Saccharomyces cerevisiae S288C: one gene and its partners. The protein of the gene in region 1 interacts with the protein of each later gene in a biochemical or structural test. Each region holds a gene or a part of one and is shown in the gene's direction. Other genes may lie near its edges. The genes, in order: GCN2, TEF1, GCN1 and YGR054W.

Evidence for each region.
Region 2: the proteins of GCN2 (region 1) and TEF1 form a complex in vitro, tested with the Saccharomyces cerevisiae proteins (2 studies listed by BioGRID).
Region 3: the proteins of GCN2 (region 1) and GCN1 form a complex in vitro, tested with the Saccharomyces cerevisiae proteins (3 studies listed by BioGRID).
Region 4: of the proteins of GCN2 (region 1) and YGR054W, one has a biochemical effect on the other in vitro, tested with the Saccharomyces cerevisiae proteins (3 studies listed by BioGRID).

Annotation. Positions count from the first base shown.
Region 1 is NC_001136.10:1,024,518-1,031,689, reverse strand, and holds GCN2 (serine/threonine-protein kinase GCN2), read left to right. Parts: upstream 1-1,640; coding exon 1,641-6,620; downstream 6,621-7,172. Other genes in the region: DPP1 (bifunctional diacylglycerol diphosphate phosphatase/phosphatidate phosphatase), read left to right, coding at 271-1,140; MRX10 (Mrx10p), read left to right, coding at 6,935-7,172. UniProt on the Saccharomyces cerevisiae protein: Metabolic-stress sensing protein kinase that phosphorylates the alpha subunit of eukaryotic translation initiation factor 2 (eIF-2-alpha/SUI2) on 'Ser-52' in response to low amino acid, carbon, or purine availability.
Region 2 is NC_001148.4:698,972-702,485, forward strand, and holds TEF1 (translation elongation factor EF-1 alpha), read left to right. Parts: upstream 1-1,622; coding exon 1,623-2,999; downstream 3,000-3,514. Other genes in the region: MRL1 (Mrl1p), read left to right, coding at 1-1,043; GRS2 (putative glycine--tRNA ligase), read right to left, coding at 3,143-3,514. UniProt on the Saccharomyces cerevisiae protein: GTP-binding component of the eukaryotic elongation factor 1 complex (eEF1). In its active GTP-bound form, binds to and delivers aminoacyl-tRNA to the A-site of ribosomes during protein biosynthesis.
Region 3 is NC_001139.9:129,713-134,579, forward strand, and holds the start of GCN1 (Gcn1p), read left to right. Parts: upstream 1-1,812; coding exon 1,813-4,867. Other genes in the region: D-serine ammonia-lyase DSD1, read left to right, coding at 171-1,457. UniProt on the Saccharomyces cerevisiae protein: Ribosome collision sensor that activates a translation quality control pathway when a ribosome has stalled during translation. Directly binds to the ribosome and acts as a sentinel for colliding ribosomes.
Region 4 is NC_001139.9:595,104-599,154, forward strand, and holds YGR054W (translation initiation factor 2A), read left to right. Parts: upstream 1-1,589; coding exon 1,590-3,518; downstream 3,519-4,051. Other genes in the region: MCO32 (Mco32p), read right to left, coding at 1-734. UniProt on the Saccharomyces cerevisiae protein: Functions in the early steps of protein synthesis of a small number of specific mRNAs. Acts by directing the binding of methionyl-tRNAi to 40S ribosomal subunits.

The DNA of each region.
Region 1 (7,172 bases):
ACCTCACGACTAACTTTTTTGTATTTTAGAAATAATTTGTCGATCGGTTGTATATTTTTGTCATATATTATCTAGAAACGTTAGGGAATAAACTGTTATCTAGGGTCCACTAACATACGCGCAGTTCGGAAATCAGCAAACATCACTTAAAGGACACCTGCTATAAACTGAATTGTGTCCAATTTTTCGAGTAGTTAGCAGTTCAATAAAGGGCACGTTATCAATTGTTAAAGGCAAAGAATCAGAATTAAATCATAGCAAACGACCAAAATGAACAGAGTTTCGTTTATTAAAACGCCTTTCAACATAGGGGCGAAATGGAGATTAGAAGATGTCTTTTTGCTCATTATCATGATACTTCTTAACTACCCAGTGTATTACCAACAACCGTTCGAACGTCAGTTTTACATTAACGATCTCACTATATCGCATCCTTATGCGACAACTGAACGTGTAAATAACAACATGTTGTTTGTTTATAGTTTTGTCGTGCCATCTTTAACCATATTGATAATTGGTTCCATTTTGGCCGATAGAAGACATTTGATTTTTATTTTGTACACATCTCTCCTTGGTTTATCACTCGCTTGGTTCAGTACGAGTTTCTTTACAAACTTCATCAAGAATTGGATTGGAAGACTAAGACCAGATTTTCTAGATCGTTGCCAACCTGTTGAAGGCTTGCCATTGGACACTTTATTTACTGCAAAAGATGTGTGTACGACTAAGAATCACGAACGTCTGTTGGATGGGTTTAGGACAACTCCGTCAGGTCATTCAAGTGAAAGCTTTGCAGGACTGGGTTATTTGTACTTCTGGCTATGTGGGCAACTTTTGACTGAATCACCGTTGATGCCTTTATGGAGAAAAATGGTGGCCTTTCTACCACTGTTAGGAGCTGCACTAATTGCTCTATCCAGAACTCAAGATTACAGACATCATTTCGTCGATGTAATTTTAGGGTCTATGTTGGGTTATATAATGGCACACTTTTTCTACAGAAGAATCTTCCCACCCATTGATGATCCTCTTCCGTTCAAACCATTGATGGACGATTCAGATGTCACCCTGGAGGAAGCAGTCACCCATCAGAGGATCCCGGATGAGGAATTACATCCTTTGTCCGATGAAGGTATGTAAGAATAAAAAAGAATATATACTCCACATGACATACGAAATATACGTATTTATTGTTCTGTATGGAATAACAGCGATTACATAAAGATGACATGTTACTTCTTTATTCAAATTAATCTTGACGTGCAAGGGCCTGCTTGTTATTTCATCGGACAATCCCAACATCACTTTACACGAAAGCCTTAGAAGTTTATTATTTGTTTTAAGTTGGACTATAGTGATGTAGGTAGTTTCTTAGGAAGCAGTTGAGTAGCTGATTTTTGAGATAAGAACCTGGTGTAATCAATCTATAAACAGCCTAGAATCTTTTTAAGCAAATTTACTTTTACATTTATCTCTATCTTCTTTCTTACAAGAAGTTATTTTCATTACAAAAGGACATTAAATACACTAAATTTTCAATCTTTACATTGTTGGAAAGCCTCGTTGTCTTTTAAGATTTTATAAGCATTGATTTTTTTTTTCAATAATTTTCCGTTCCCCTTAACACATACTATGTATAAATGTCATTGAGTCATCTCACTTTAGATCAATATTATGAAATACAGTGCAACGAACTTGAAGCGATACGTTCCATTTATATGGATGACTTTACTGACTTAACTAAAAGAAAGTCTAGCTGGGATAAGCAGCCACAGATTATATTCGAAATTACGCTTCGATCTGTTGACAAAGAGCCGGTTGAATCTTCTATAACATTACATTTTGCGATGACCCCAATGTATCCTTATACCGCTCCAGAAATAGAATTCAAAAATGTACAAAATGTAATGGATAGTCAATTGCAAATGCTGAAAAGTGAATTTAAGAAAATCCACAACACCTCCCGAGGCCAAGAGATTATATTTGAAATTACATCTTTTACTCAAGAAAAACTGGACGAATTTCAAAATGTGGTAAATACACAGTCCTTGGAAGATGATCGATTACAAAGAATCAAAGAAACTAAAGAACAATTAGAAAAGGAAGAAAGAGAAAAACAACAGGAAACAATAAAAAAAAGATCAGATGAGCAGCGAAGGATAGATGAAATTGTTCAAAGAGAGTTGGAGAAAAGACAAGATGATGATGATGATTTGCTATTCAACAGAACAACCCAGTTAGATTTACAACCACCTTCAGAATGGGTTGCATCAGGTGAAGCTATTGTCTTTTCAAAAACTATAAAGGCAAAATTGCCTAATAACTCAATGTTCAAGTTTAAAGCAGTTGTAAATCCTAAGCCAATAAAACTGACATCAGATATATTTAGTTTTTCCAAACAATTTCTTGTGAAGCCTTATATACCACCAGAATCTCCGTTGGCAGATTTTTTAATGTCTTCTGAAATGATGGAAAATTTCTACTATTTGCTATCTGAAATTGAATTGGATAATAGCTATTTCAACACAAGTAATGGAAAAAAAGAAATAGCAAATTTAGAGAAAGAGTTAGAGACGGTGTTGAAAGCTAAGCATGACAATGTGAATCGATTGTTCGGTTATACGGTGGAGCGCATGGGGAGAAATAATGCAACGTTTGTTTGGAAAATAAGACTCTTGACAGAGTACTGTAACTACTATCCATTGGGAGATTTGATACAATCTGTTGGATTTGTTAACTTAGCAACAGCGCGTATTTGGATGATTAGATTGCTTGAAGGATTGGAGGCCATACACAAATTGGGAATTGTTCATAAATGTATCAACTTAGAAACCGTGATCCTGGTGAAGGATGCAGATTTTGGAAGCACTATTCCCAAGTTAGTTCACTCCACTTATGGCTACACTGTTTTGAATATGCTATCGAGATATCCAAATAAAAATGGTTCTTCGGTTGAGTTATCTCCAAGTACATGGATAGCCCCTGAGTTGTTGAAATTCAATAACGCCAAACCTCAAAGATTAACTGATATTTGGCAACTTGGTGTTTTGTTTATCCAGATAATCAGTGGATCTGATATAGTGATGAATTTTGAAACGCCTCAAGAATTCCTAGATTCAACAAGTATGGATGAAACTTTATATGATCTTCTTTCGAAAATGCTTAATAACGATCCGAAGAAAAGATTAGGAACATTAGAACTACTGCCCATGAAATTCTTAAGGACCAATATTGACTCTACAATCAATCGATTTAACTTAGTTTCCGAAAGTGTCAATTCTAATTCCTTGGAGTTAACTCCTGGAGATACCATAACCGTTCGGGGCAATGGAGGTAGAACACTTTCACAATCGAGTATACGAAGAAGATCATTTAATGTTGGTTCCAGATTCTCTTCTATAAATCCTGCAACGCGATCACGATATGCTTCTGACTTTGAAGAGATTGCAGTTTTAGGCCAGGGCGCATTTGGACAAGTTGTCAAGGCACGTAATGCTCTCGATAGCAGATACTATGCGATCAAGAAGATTAGACATACAGAAGAAAAGTTATCTACTATATTGAGTGAAGTAATGCTGTTAGCAAGCTTAAATCATCAATATGTTGTGCGTTACTATGCTGCATGGTTAGAAGAAGACAGTATGGATGAAAACGTTTTTGAATCAACTGATGAAGAAAGTGACTTGAGCGAATCTTCCTCTGATTTTGAGGAAAATGATTTATTAGATCAAAGCAGTATTTTTAAAAATAGAACAAATCACGATTTGGATAATAGTAACTGGGATTTCATATCGGGGTCAGGATATCCGGATATTGTCTTTGAAAATAGTTCTCGTGATGATGAAAATGAAGATCTAGACCATGATACTTCCTCGACTTCCTCGAGCGAAAGTCAAGATGATACTGATAAAGAATCAAAGAGTATCCAGAACGTTCCAAGAAGGAGGAATTTTGTAAAACCGATGACTGCTGTTAAGAAGAAAAGTACGCTTTTTATTCAAATGGAGTACTGTGAAAATAGAACGCTATATGATTTGATCCATTCTGAAAATTTAAATCAACAACGTGATGAATATTGGAGGTTATTTCGACAAATTTTGGAAGCACTGAGTTATATACATTCCCAGGGTATCATTCATAGGGATCTGAAGCCAATGAATATTTTTATAGATGAATCGAGAAATGTTAAAATCGGTGATTTTGGGTTAGCTAAGAACGTCCATAGATCTCTGGATATACTTAAGCTAGATTCACAGAATTTGCCAGGCAGCTCAGATAATTTAACATCCGCCATTGGTACAGCAATGTATGTTGCTACTGAAGTTTTAGATGGTACAGGTCACTATAATGAAAAGATTGATATGTATTCACTTGGAATCATTTTTTTTGAAATGATCTATCCTTTCAGTACAGGTATGGAGAGAGTTAATATTTTGAAAAAGTTACGATCAGTGTCGATAGAATTTCCTCCTGATTTCGACGATAATAAGATGAAAGTTGAAAAGAAAATTATAAGGTTACTCATAGACCATGATCCCAATAAAAGGCCTGGTGCTAGGACATTATTAAATAGTGGTTGGCTTCCTGTGAAGCATCAGGATGAAGTAATCAAAGAGGCTTTAAAAAGTTTGTCGAATCCTTCATCCCCTTGGCAACAGCAAGTTCGAGAAAGTTTATTTAACCAATCTTACAGTCTAACAAATGATATTCTATTTGATAACTCAGTTCCAACATCCACTCCTTTCGCAAACATTCTCAGGTCCCAAATGACAGAAGAGGTAGTTAAAATTTTCAGGAAACATGGAGGAATTGAAAATAATGCTCCTCCGAGGATTTTTCCAAAGGCCCCCATATACGGTACGCAGAATGTATATGAAGTGCTTGACAAGGGCGGTACCGTCTTGCAGTTACAATATGATTTAACTTATCCTATGGCTAGGTATCTATCTAAAAATCCAAGTCTGATTTCTAAGCAATATAGGATGCAGCACGTTTACCGACCTCCTGATCATTCAAGGTCAAGTTTGGAACCTAGAAAGTTTGGTGAGATTGACTTCGACATAATTTCAAAATCTTCCTCAGAGTCAGGATTTTATGATGCAGAAAGCTTGAAAATTATCGATGAAATATTAACCGTATTTCCTGTATTTGAGAAAACAAACACTTTTTTCATATTAAATCATGCTGATATTTTGGAGAGTGTTTTCAACTTTACAAATATTGATAAAGCCCAAAGGCCTCTAGTTTCACGAATGTTGTCGCAAGTAGGCTTTGCAAGGTCCTTCAAGGAAGTAAAGAATGAACTAAAGGCGCAACTGAACATATCTTCTACGGCATTGAATGATTTGGAGTTATTTGATTTTAGACTGGACTTCGAAGCAGCCAAAAAACGCCTGTATAAATTGATGATTGATAGTCCGCATCTAAAAAAAATTGAGGACTCTTTGTCCCATATATCAAAGGTTCTCAGTTACCTAAAACCCTTAGAAGTTGCAAGAAATGTTGTGATATCTCCTTTGAGTAACTACAATAGCGCTTTTTACAAAGGAGGTATCATGTTTCATGCAGTTTATGACGATGGATCCTCACGTAATATGATAGCTGCTGGAGGGAGGTATGACACTTTGATATCCTTTTTTGCCAGACCATCAGGAAAAAAGAGCAGCAATACTCGTAAGGCTGTAGGTTTCAACTTAGCGTGGGAAACAATATTCGGTATAGCCCAAAACTATTTCAAACTCGCTTCTGGAAATAGGATAAAGAAGAGAAATAGGTTTTTGAAAGATACAGCTGTTGATTGGAAGCCAAGCAGGTGTGATGTATTGATATCGAGTTTTTCGAACTCTTTGTTGGACACAATCGGGGTTACAATACTGAATACATTGTGGAAGCAAAACATTAAAGCGGATATGTTAAGGGATTGTTCCTCGGTGGATGATGTCGTTACTGGCGCTCAACAGGATGGTATAGACTGGATTTTGCTGATTAAGCAACAAGCGTATCCACTAACCAATCACAAGAGAAAGTACAAGCCATTAAAAATAAAAAAATTGAGCACTAATGTTGACATAGATTTAGATCTTGATGAGTTTTTAACCTTGTACCAACAAGAAACTGGTAATAAATCTTTGATCAACGATAGTCTCACTTTGGGCGATAAGGCTGATGAATTTAAAAGATGGGATGAAAACAGCAGTGCCGGTAGTAGTCAAGAAGGTGACATAGATGATGTTGTTGCTGGTTCGACTAATAATCAAAAGGTAATTTATGTTCCAAACATGGCTACAAGATCTAAGAAAGCTAATAAAAGGGAAAAGTGGGTTTATGAGGATGCAGCCAGAAATTCTTCGAATATGATATTACACAATTTATCCAATGCACCAATTATCACTGTTGATGCCTTAAGAGATGAAACTTTAGAAATAATCTCAATTACTTCTTTGGCTCAGAAGGAAGAATGGCTGAGAAAAGTTTTTGGGTCAGGTAATAACTCGACTCCTAGAAGCTTTGCCACGAGCATTTATAATAACCTCTCCAAAGAGGCTCATAAAGGGAATAGGTGGGCAATATTATACTGCCACAAAACCGGAAAATCATCTGTTATCGATTTACAGAGGTAGGCCTTTAAAGATCTGTGCGGCGCTATAACGCATCAGTTAAAGGTAAAGTATATACAATGTCTTAGATACTATATTTAGGCTAGCTGATTCATCTAATTCACCGTTGTAAAGGGGGTAGGTCACCTTTCTTATACATATTCCTGATACTAAAGACAAATGTAGGTTTAATGAGATGGTCTACTTCTTCTCTCCTTTCTCTACTTTCCATTTTGTATTTAATTTTTCGGTGAATATAAATGTGTGCGTATGTTGTGTGAGGCTCCTCTAGCTCCTACGGGAGACATTTAATAAATGATCATAATATGGCGTGAAGAATGCTTTCATTCAGAAGTTTGACTAGCACATTCGGTTTCGTATCACGATTCCAAATTAGACGGTTAGGAACTAGTTTATCAATACAGAATTTAGAAGTGCAAGATGGCCGTTGGAAAGGTAAACTAGCTACAGAGAAGAAGACCAATAGGGAACACAAGTCAGTGGATACGAATATCAAGACAATGAAGATGCTTAAAAACCCGAAGAATTCTACTCGCTATTTGAGACGAAGTTTTG
Region 2 (3,514 bases), on another chromosome or scaffold:
ATGAACATAGGGCTTCTCACAAGCAAAAAAGAACGTTAGCAAATCCGGATAAACCCAAAAGCGAAAACGATGAAGATCTATTTTGTGCGGTAACCAACCCAGTCACCGGATCATACATAGATCTATCACAGCTATCTTCAACTCCCAACAAATTAAGGGAGGGCCAAAAACAGATTTCTGGCAATAACAAGCATGAATCCTCCAAGACGAAGTGGTCAGTGAGAGGTTGGGGCTACGATACAAACTTCACGTTAGGCATCTGCTCTAGTCCTGTCGGAGAAGCTGAGTCGCAACAACTGTCCAATCTAACGGGCGCTTTTTACGTAGACCAGTTGAACGAAAATAATTTAGTATCGATTGGAGACTTCAGTACAAGGCCTGCGTTAGTCGGCGGCTCTACTGCCAAGAAATTAACTCTCAAATACGAAAACGGCTCTATGTGCCCGAACGGGAAGGACAAGAAGGCAACTTTATTGAATTTTGTCTGCGATAAAGAAATTCAATCAAAGGCCCAGATATCATACATTGGAAACCTACACAATTGCTCGTATTTCTTCGAAGTCCGCAGCATTCATGCGTGCCCCACCTCAAACAAAAAGAATGAAGTTAACGTTTTGGGTATCTTCATCGGTATCTTCGCTATATTCTTTTTAGTCGAATTTGCGGGGAGAAGATGGATCTATGCTAAACTAAATAGGCATTTGAAAAACGACGACGAGTTACACGACATATCGCCATCTTTAAATGAGCAACCACACTGGGACCTCATAGAGGACGGGTCTCGCTGGAGTAAATTTTTCAACGGGATAATTAAGACGACAAGAAGGTTCACGAAATCTTTAATGAGGTCTTTAGTCAGAGGCAGGAACAGCCGTCAAGGGGGCATAAGACTACGGTCATCCCCATCTGCCTCTTCGTCCAGCCTTGCCAACAGGGAGTTCTTCAGAGACATGGAGGCTCAAAACGAAATTATTGACAGCCTAGACATCAATAGTCATACAACAGAAAGCGACCACCCAACTTTGGCTGATAATAGCGTATAAACAATGCATACTTTGTACGTTCAAAATACAATGCAGTAGATATATTTATGCATATTACATATAATACATATCACATAGGAAGCAACAGGCGCGTTGGACTTTTAATTTTCGAGGACCGCGAATCCTTACATCACACCCAATCCCCCACAAGTGATCCCCCACACACCATAGCTTCAAAATGTTTCTACTCCTTTTTTACTCTTCCAGATTTTCTCGGACTCCGCGCATCGCCGTACCACTTCAAAACACCCAAGCACAGCATACTAAATTTCCCCTCTTTCTTCCTCTAGGGTGTCGTTAATTACCCGTACTAAAGGTTTGGAAAAGAAAAAAGAGACCGCCTCGTTTCTTTTTCTTCGTCGAAAAAGGCAATAAAAATTTTTATCACGTTTCTTTTTCTTGAAAATTTTTTTTTTTGATTTTTTTCTCTTTCGATGACCTCCCATTGATATTTAAGTTAATAAACGGTCTTCAATTTCTCAAGTTTCAGTTTCATTTTTCTTGTTCTATTACAACTTTTTTTACTTCTTGCTCATTAGAAAGAAAGCATAGCAATCTAATCTAAGTTTTAATTACAAAATGGGTAAAGAGAAGTCTCACATTAACGTTGTCGTTATCGGTCATGTCGATTCTGGTAAGTCTACCACTACCGGTCATTTGATTTACAAGTGTGGTGGTATTGACAAGAGAACCATCGAAAAGTTCGAAAAGGAAGCCGCTGAATTAGGTAAGGGTTCTTTCAAGTACGCTTGGGTTTTGGACAAGTTAAAGGCTGAAAGAGAAAGAGGTATCACTATCGATATTGCTTTGTGGAAGTTCGAAACTCCAAAGTACCAAGTTACCGTTATTGATGCTCCAGGTCACAGAGATTTCATCAAGAACATGATTACTGGTACTTCTCAAGCTGACTGTGCTATCTTGATTATTGCTGGTGGTGTCGGTGAATTCGAAGCCGGTATCTCTAAGGATGGTCAAACCAGAGAACACGCTTTGTTGGCTTTCACCTTGGGTGTTAGACAATTGATTGTTGCTGTCAACAAGATGGACTCCGTCAAATGGGACGAATCCAGATTCCAAGAAATTGTCAAGGAAACCTCCAACTTTATCAAGAAGGTTGGTTACAACCCAAAGACTGTTCCATTCGTCCCAATCTCTGGTTGGAACGGTGACAACATGATTGAAGCTACCACCAACGCTCCATGGTACAAGGGTTGGGAAAAGGAAACCAAGGCCGGTGTCGTCAAGGGTAAGACTTTGTTGGAAGCCATTGACGCCATTGAACAACCATCTAGACCAACTGACAAGCCATTGAGATTGCCATTGCAAGATGTTTACAAGATTGGTGGTATTGGTACTGTGCCAGTCGGTAGAGTTGAAACCGGTGTCATCAAGCCAGGTATGGTTGTTACTTTTGCCCCAGCTGGTGTTACCACTGAAGTCAAGTCCGTTGAAATGCATCACGAACAATTGGAACAAGGTGTTCCAGGTGACAACGTTGGTTTCAACGTCAAGAACGTTTCCGTTAAGGAAATCAGAAGAGGTAACGTCTGTGGTGACGCTAAGAACGATCCACCAAAGGGTTGCGCTTCTTTCAACGCTACCGTCATTGTTTTGAACCATCCAGGTCAAATCTCTGCTGGTTACTCTCCAGTTTTGGATTGTCACACTGCTCACATTGCTTGTAGATTCGACGAATTGTTGGAAAAGAACGACAGAAGATCTGGTAAGAAGTTGGAAGACCATCCAAAGTTCTTGAAGTCCGGTGACGCTGCTTTGGTCAAGTTCGTTCCATCTAAGCCAATGTGTGTTGAAGCTTTCAGTGAATACCCACCATTAGGTAGATTCGCTGTCAGAGACATGAGACAAACTGTCGCTGTCGGTGTTATCAAGTCTGTTGACAAGACTGAAAAGGCCGCTAAGGTTACCAAGGCTGCTCAAAAGGCTGCTAAGAAATAAGGAGATTGATAAGACTTTTCTAGTTGCATATCTTTTATATTTAAATCTTATCTATTAGTTAATTTTTTGTAATTTATCCTTATATATAGTCTGGTTATTCTAAAATATCATTTCAGTATCTAAAAATTCCCCTCTTTTTTCAGTTATATCTTAACAGGCGACAGTCCAAATGTTGATTTATCCCAGTCCGATTCATCAGGGTTGTGAAGCATTTTGTCAATGGTCGAAATCACATCAGTAATAGTGCCTCTTACTTGCCTCATAGAATTTCTTTCTCTTAACGTCACCGTTTGGTCTTTTATAGTTTCGAAATCTATGGTGATACCAAATGGTGTTCCCAATTCATCGTTACGGGCGTATTTTTTACCAATTGAAGTATTGGAATCGTCAATTTTAAAGTATATCTCTCTTTTACGTAAAGCCTGCGAGATCCTCTTAAGTATAGCGGGGAAGCCATCGTTATTCGATATTGTCGTAACAAATACTTTGATCGGCGCTATCTGTAATGGAAAAGA
Region 3 (4,867 bases), on another chromosome or scaffold:
TCTCAAAACCATGGAACAACAATATGTGTACATATATAAAGCTTTTGAGTGAAAAGATTTCTTTCCACTATTTACTGTCAATTTTATTCAACACGAAAGGGAATTAAGTGCACATAAATACTTCATTTCTTGATAAGGAAGTATAATATTGCTCCTAAGAAGAGTTTGAAATGAGCGATGTTCTATCTCAATATAAAGGGTGCTCAGTCAGAGATTTACCCACACCCAATTTCGTTATTAATGAAGAAAAATTTGATAAGAATTGTACGACAATGTTGAACAACGTTGAAAAGCTCAGCCAGGAATGTGGCGTACCAATCAAATTTCGTGCACACGTAAAAACGCATAAGACAGCAAAGGGAACTTTGAAACAATTGGGCCACGGACTTCCATTGGCTAAACGCACTACAAGAGCCATATTAGTATCAACTTTGAAAGAAGCAGAAGAACTTCTTAATTATCAAGATAGACAATGTTCGGATTATATTGACGATATAACATATAGTTTACCCTGTTGCGTTCCAGAGTTTATTCCTCTTTTGAGCAATTTGTCAAGAAGGGTGAATAATTTTCAGGTTTTTGTTGATAACATTGAACACTTGGAGAATTTAAAGAATTTCGGTAGGCCTGCTTCCGGCAAGAAATGGTCGGTTTTTATCAAGGTTGATATGGGGACTAAGAGGGCAGGTCTTGCTTTCGACTCTCCAGAATTTTTGAGTCTTTTAAAAAAACTGACTTCCTCAGAAATTAAAGAAGTAATTGAGCCATATGGGTTTTATGCTCATGCCGGACACAGCTACTCTTCAACCTCGATCAACGACACTCAGAATCTTTTGATGGAAGAAGTGAAAGCAGTCAATTCTGCCGCTAAAGTTTTGTGCTCTGTGGATCCTCAGTTTGATCCTTCTAAATTAACACTTTCTGTGGGCGCTACTCCGACTTCCAATTCTTTGAAACTCGATAATAAAAGTACCCTTGTTAAATTCATTACTACTCAATTAGTTAGTACGCTTGAAATCCACTGCGGTAATTACTGCATGTATGACCTGCAACAGGTGGCAACAGGCTGTGTCCAAGATCACGAATTGTCTGGTTTTGTATTAGGAACAGTACTATCATCTTACCCTTCTAGAGGTGAATTGTTGAGTAATACAGGTGTAATGTGTCTAACGCGAGAAGCATCCTCAATAAAAGGGTTTGGAATATGTGCTGATTTGGAACATGTGTTAAAATCCGAGAGTTTCAGTAGGGAATGGTATGTAGCAAGGGTCTCTCAAGAACACGGGATACTGAGGCCAATAAGAAACTGGAACGAAACTACTCCATTAAAATTAGGCAGCAAAATTGCCGTCCTTCCTCAACACGCTTGTATCACAATGGGACAATTTCCATATTATTTCGTGGTAAACAGCGAAGGCATTGTCAACGATGTTTGGTTACCTTTTCAGAAATGGTAAGCTCTCTTTTGTCGTTGGTTATCACTCTCATCAAAGCATCTCTGTGTCTATGTAATTGTGTATCTATTTATAAATAGTAACTAAGAGTAAGGTTGTACACAGGTTGGTCTAAACACCCTCTTGTTAAGCTTCCGCATTACCTGCGAGCTGGTAATTGTAATACAGATTTATTTGTTGATATAATGCTATGAAATTTCAACTACCGTCATTGAGCTTCTCAATAAAGTCGTTACGTACGAATGAAAAATTTGAATAATTTAAACCTTCGAAAAGATCTTTGAGTTGTACTTATTAAACCTGAAGTAGATCATTAAGACAAACAAAGCTCTGACTGACACCAATAACTCCTACAGTGATGACAGCTATCTTAAACTGGGAAGATATATCCCCTGTTTTAGAGAAAGGCACCCGCGAATCACACGTGTCTAAAAGAGTTCCCTTTTTGCAAGATATATCACAATTAGTTCGTCAAGAAACATTGGAAAAACCTCAATTATCTGAAATTGCTTTCGTTTTATTGAATACCTTCACGATTTACGAAGACAATAGGTCTAAAAGTTTGGTAACTTCAATATTGCTTGACATCTTAAATCTAGAGCCATGTCTCCTAGAAAACTTTATCCGATTCATTTCCGACGTGGTCATCAGTAATCCGGCTACCAAAGCAGTCGCTGATTACCTTAATTTGTTAGATTGGATTAATTCTTTCTTGATTTTTGTGTCGCATAATTCTAATTTATTTGAAGAGTACATTCCAAAATTGTTGGTCGCCCATTCTTATGCAACGTTCGGTGTGGAAACTATTCTTGACAATCAAGAAGAAGGCAAGAAATCCCAAGATAAGCAGAACCAGCATAGAAAGAGAATTCGTTATTGCATTTTCCAAACAACGGTCAAAGCATTCCTTAAGTGCTTGAAGGATAATGACGACAGTATTTCCTTCATGAAGATTTCAATTAAAACTGTACTGGAGAGCTACTCTAAGCTGAAGATAACCAGTGTTGGAGTAGTTATGATAATGGGTGCACTAACTCAGGCTGCACTTCAGTTATTATCGAGGCAACCAGCTCTGCACTCCGTTTTAAAGGAAAATTCTGCAGAGAAATATTGCGAATATTTGGGCAAAGAAGTGTTTTTAGGCAAAAACCCACCATCTTCCTTTTGCTTAGAGATTGGTTTGAAGCCATTTTTAAAAGAATTTGTTTCACAAGAGTTATTCATTAAGTTTTTCATCCCTAATATTGAAAAAGCAGTTTTAAGATCTCCTGAGGTTGGTTTTTCGATTTTATCTGAGTTATATGCTGGTGTTTCTCCTGAAAAAGTAAATCTCTTAAATGCCTTTGCTTCCTCGAAACTGATTAATCAATACTTCTCGTCATTTAAAAGCTCAAAAGAGGTAGTTAGATCCGTCTCGCTTCAGTCTATGATAATCTTATTGAGAAAAATTTCCAATACTGACACTACCTTGGAAGATTTGACCAAGCTTATTGACGAAATATTTAAGAACATCAAATCGAACTTAAATGCAGATTACAAATCACTTATTTCCAAAATTCTCATAGAAATACCCTTAACGCACTATGAGGTTTCAGAAAAAATCTGCAAAGGGCTGTCCCCATATATTGGTAAAGAAGGTAATGAAGCAGCCTTGACTCTAATGCTTAACGCTTTTTTTGTTCATTATTTTAGTCTGGGCAAACCTATTGAAGACTTGGATAAAATTATATCAGCTGGTTTTGCAGATAAAAAACCTGCTTTGAAAAAATGCTGGTTTGCCGCATTTTTGAACAATTCCAATGCTGCCTCTGAAGAGGTGATTTTAAACTTTATAGACGGTTGTTTGGAATTTGTGAAAGACTCCATCATACATTATCAGACTCACGGGCATGCATGTATTCTAGCATCAATTGAATTTACAAACAAAATTTTGGCATTGGACAATACTGAGCTAAATGATCGTGTTATGCAGCTCATAGAAACCCTTCCTGAAAATTCTTCGATAGGTGATGCTATCTTAACTGCTGCATTATCAACAGAGCTATCCATCGAAAACCGTATTCATGCTGTTAATTTACTACAAGAATTGTTCTACAAGAAACCCGAATTTATTGGGTTTAGCGTGATTGATGCAATTGAAAGGAGAATGCGTGTCCAAGAATTAATACCTCAACAAAATACATCCTTTAAATATGTCACTTCTGTACTACTGGCCATTACGTCTGAGTTACCTGACAAGGAAGCCTCGATAAAGGTATTAATCAATGCTCTGGTCATAGCGCAATGGAATATTTTCAACATTAAGAATGGCTGGGCTGGTTTAGTTTTACGTGCAAGGCTTGATCCAGCTGAAGTTGTCAAAGAACATGCTAGCGTTATCATGGAGAAGATTCTTGAAATCACAGGTAGTTGTGAATGGATAGATACAATTTATGGTGCATGCGGTTTGCAAGCAGCTGCCTATGCAGCATTTATTCAGCCTAATGAGTTCACACCGATCCTTTGTAAGACTATCGAAGCAGATTTAACCGCGGATGATTTCTCACGTTTATCTGAAGAGGACTTCGAAATTTTTGCAGGAGAGGAAGGTGTTCTGGTGGTTGACGTCCTGGAAGAAAGCATGAATAAGAAACTTTCCAATAAAAATTCTAAAGAGTACGAAACTCTAATGTGGGAACAAAAAATAAGGAAGGAGCAAGCCAAAAAGAATGTGAAAAAACTTTCAAAAGAGGAACAAGAGCTCGTTAATGAACAGTTAGCGAAAGAATCTGCAGTTAGATCACACGTTTCGGAAATTTCCACTCGTTTAAAGCGTGGTATTAGATTGGTATCTGAACTTTCCAAAGCTGCTTGCTTAGTCCAAAATGGCATCGCTACTTGGTTCCCCTTGGCAGTCACAAAGCTTTTGTACCTATGCTCGGAACCAAATATTTCAAAGCTAACAGAGGATGTAAATAATGTGTTCTTGCAGCTTTCTCAAAATGTCTCCGAGAGATTAGGTAATATCAGACTTTTCTTAGGTTTGGCGACTTTGCGTGTGCACAATGCTAATGGCATCTCGCAAGATTATTTACAAGAACCACTGGTTGAATTACTTACAAGAGTTCTTTTTAGGATCAAGTTCGTCTCCAACCAAGCAGCAATAGATTCCATCAGTTTGACATATATTTTACCATTGTTGATTAATGTTTTAGAAAAGGGTAAGGCGATTGCATTAAAGAATGCGGACAAGCCTGTTGTTAAGGCTGAGTTTGTTGAAGAAGATGAAGAAGAAGAACATCTGTTACTGGCCATGGAAATTATTTCTGTACACGCTGAAGCTTTTGAGGATCCTTCCATTCCGAGAATTTCCATTGTTGAAGTGTTACTATCTCTTCTATCTTTACCCTCAAAAGCGAAGATTGCTAAAGATT
Region 4 (4,051 bases), on another chromosome or scaffold:
CCCTTAATCAGCCGGGATAATCTCTTTTTTTTACTTCTTTTACCGTCGCCATCATTTTTCTTCTTCTCATCTTCTTTGGAATTTTGAGTTTCGTTGACCTTATTTTCCATTGACCTTTCAGCTGCATTTTCAAGGTACTCAGAGATAACACTTTGGTTCAAATTATTGGCTGTAGGATGTAAAATGTAGTCTATGACTGGTACCGACCTCATTGAAAATGAACCGCCTGCACCATTGCCTCGTTTCTCCTCTTTCAATCTGTCATTAATTTCTAATTTGGTAATCTTGCAATGGTCTTCCGGTATGCAGCTTTGCCATTTGATCACCAATTTGTCATTACATGTTATGGTATTATAACTCTGAAGAGCAGATTTAACTTCTTCATCATGCGATGTCGATGTTAGAGTCTTTACTGAACTTATATGCAAGCGACATTCATCGCCCAAGATAAACTTTCGTACTATCATTCGCATTGCATTCAAAGAAGCCATGTATTTTGATTTTCCATGTAACACTGGAATATATGGATGCGATGTTGGAAATAGTCTAAAAACAACGTTATCCGCCAACACTGACTCCTTGAACATTTTTTGTAACAAATTGGGAACACCTTTAACCACTAAATAATCTGTTATTTGCCCCAAATTGGCCACTTTTTGAGAATTGGAGTACCATCGAGGAAAGATTCCTTTGATAGATATTATGCCGGCTCTGCAAACACACTTTAGTAACATAAGTCTTTCCCCCTATTATCTATGAATATAAACTGTCTATCTTTCCTTGGTTGTGATGTATCGTTTTCCGTAGAGGCTTGCAGCTTTATGGCTCATACCTGTCATCCCTCTTTATGGGCCTTTTAAGGGCGCTCTCTACATTGTATTCTATTCATTTTTTTCGTAACCGTAACTACGCGCCTTCTTAACGCAAGGCGCTCGACTCATCATGAGATGCGTATGAATGTCTTTCAGTGTATAGAAATACATCTCACCAAATCTATTTATTTAACTAATATTTCTTTTAATATTTTCCTCAAGAAACTCAGGCAGTTAATGTTGTGTCCTATTTTTTTTAGTTCTTTCCCATTTTTATAGCACTCGTACAAAAGAAATCGAAATATTTCAATATGTTTAGACTCGGTTCTATGTGTTAAAACTGCAAGATGAAAAAGTAACATCTATCTTAGATTAAGGTCCTTTCTTTATATTCTTTACTTTATTAGTGAGCAGAAATATTATTAAAAATTGCCGCTGTCATACTGTACGATATTATTACCCGACCGCAGAATGTTCCTCAATACTTTCTTTTTCTTCCTTTTTTTCACTTCGCTTTCTTCATGTCCATCAATGAAATTTCAGCTTCATAGCGATTTATTTTCAGTGTACGTTATTCAATGAAGATTCCTTTTCCTCGATCTATCCAGACGACTAGACATAGCGAGAATTCTTTACGGTAGAAGCAACCTATAGATTACCGAATCATAACTTTCTTTAGTGTTGATTGAGACGTGTTGTGTTTAAACTATCCATTGCATCTCGATAAAAAAACATAGTACTACAACAAACAGTCAGGTTCAATAACACCTAAACATTATGTCATCTCAGTTTTTCCTGAAAACCTCTCAGGATATAGAGCTCTTCCAAAGCTACCCAACTTTTGAGCAATCCAACACAAACTCCAAGGATTTCCCTGTCATTTCCTCGGTTTTATCGCCATGTGGCAGATTTTTGGCTTTATCTACGAAGGAGAACGTCAAAGTTTTTACAGGTCCATGTTTGGATAACGTTCTATTAACAATGAAGTTGTCCGACGTCTATGACCTACACTTCTCTCCAGCAGGTAACTACTTAAGCACTTGGGAGAGAGCGTCTATACAAGACCCAAATCACAAGAACGTTAAAGTTTGGTATTTGAATAAACCATTTAAGAAAGATTGCGTTTCGGAGGATATAGTCCCTGCTTACGAATATCAAGCCAAATCCCAAAGCGGTTGGTTTTTACAATTCTCCAAATTAGACAATTATGGGCTAAGACTTTTTAAACACGACTTGAAGATTGTTAAATTAAGCTCCGCTAATGCCGACAATTTCGACTTCCAATCTCCGTTTGCTGTCTTGTCTGATGATGAAACGTCCCAACATTTCACCACCTACCTAATCTCTCCAGCTGAACATCCAACAATTTGTACTTTCACACCAGAAAAGGGTGGTAAACCGGCTCAATTAATCATATGGGCCCTCTCTGAAGGTAAAATCACCAAGAAAATTGCCTCCAAAACTTTCTTTAAAGCTGATTCCTGCCAATTGAAATGGAATCCATTAGGTAATGCTATTTTATGTTTAGCTATTACTGATTTTGATTCCTCAAACAAATCATATTATGGTGAAAACACACTATACTTACTGTCTTTCCAAGGTGTCAACGGGACTTTGGGTGGTAACTCTGTACGTGTTTCTTTAACCACTGGACCTGTCCACGATTTCACTTGGTCGCCAACTTCAAGGCAATTCGGTGTCATCGCTGGTTACATGCCAGCAACCATTTCCTTTTTTGACTTAAGAGGTAATGTTGTCCATTCATTACCTCAACAAGCCAAAAATACCATGCTTTTCTCTCCCTCTGGTCATTACATTCTTATCGCCGGGTTTGGTAATTTACAGGGCTCCGTGGAAATCCTAGATCGTCTCGACAAATTCAAGTGTGTGAGTAAATTTGACGCTACCAACACTTCTGTCTGCAAATGGTCACCGGGTGGAGAATTTATCATGACAGCTACCACTTCACCAAGATTGAGAGTGGATAACGGCGTTAAAATATGGCATGTATCAGGCTCTTTAGTATTTGTTAAAGAGTTCAAGGAGCTTTTGAAGGTAGACTGGAGGTCACCATGTAATTACAAAACTTTGGAAAACAAAGACGAAGCATTTTTCGAGAACCATATCATTAATAACTGGGAACCGCTACCTGATTCGACCACATCTTCACTTGATCCTAAAATATCCAATAAATCAGAATTGCAAATACATTCTAGCGTTCAAGAGTACATAAGTCAACACCCAAGCAGAGAAGCAAGCTCCAATGGAAACGGATCTAAGGCCAAAGCTGGAGGCGCTTATAAACCACCTCACGCAAGAAGAACAGGCGGTGGACGTATTGTCCCCGGAGTTCCTCCTGGTGCAGCAAAGAAGACCATCCCAGGGCTAGTTCCGGGCATGAGTGCCAACAAGGACGCCAACACCAAGAACAGGAGAAGAAGAGCCAATAAAAAGTCAAGTGAAACGTCACCTGATTCTACTCCGGCCCCATCTGCTCCTGCCTCCACAAATGCCCCCACAAACAATAAAGAAACTTCTCCAGAGGAGAAGAAAATAAGATCTTTACTAAAGAAATTAAGGGCTATTGAAACCTTGAAGGAAAGACAGGCCGTCGGTGACAAACTAGAAGATACGCAAGTTCTAAAAATTCAAACTGAAGAAAAAGTGTTGAAAGATTTGGAAAAGTTGGGTTGGAAGGATGAATAAACTAGAAGAAACTGATGTATCCATACAACTGTGTAAATATTAACAACGTCAAATAATACTACTTTGAATTGTTTTTTACTGTTTCCCAGGAGAATTACGCCAACCTCCCCCCTTTCTTTTTTTCCCTTGTTTTATTGTACTTTTCCACATATTTTTTTAACATCAAATAGTAATTGATACATACATAATTAGTGAGCATTTTCCTTATTTTTACGTCTCTTCTTGGCGGATTGCCACCAGCCGCATCTTACAATGTATGCCACGATACCGCCAGGCAATAAATGAATATGGAGTGTCACTTCGGCTCCGTAAGCCGGCGCTGCATCCGCCACCACAGTTTTTTTTAGCGTCGCTGTCGCCGCTTTGCCACAGAAAAAGAAAAAAAAAAAAGAAACGGCGCCGTGTAGGGTTTTGTATAACAGATCGGCCTAGCAGCCAGGAGATGGCACGGCGCCAACTGAAAAGTTAGACTGTGGAATTGCCGTTCACCACACTCGAGTGGCATCTAATAAACTGCCACAGTTGACTCAAGC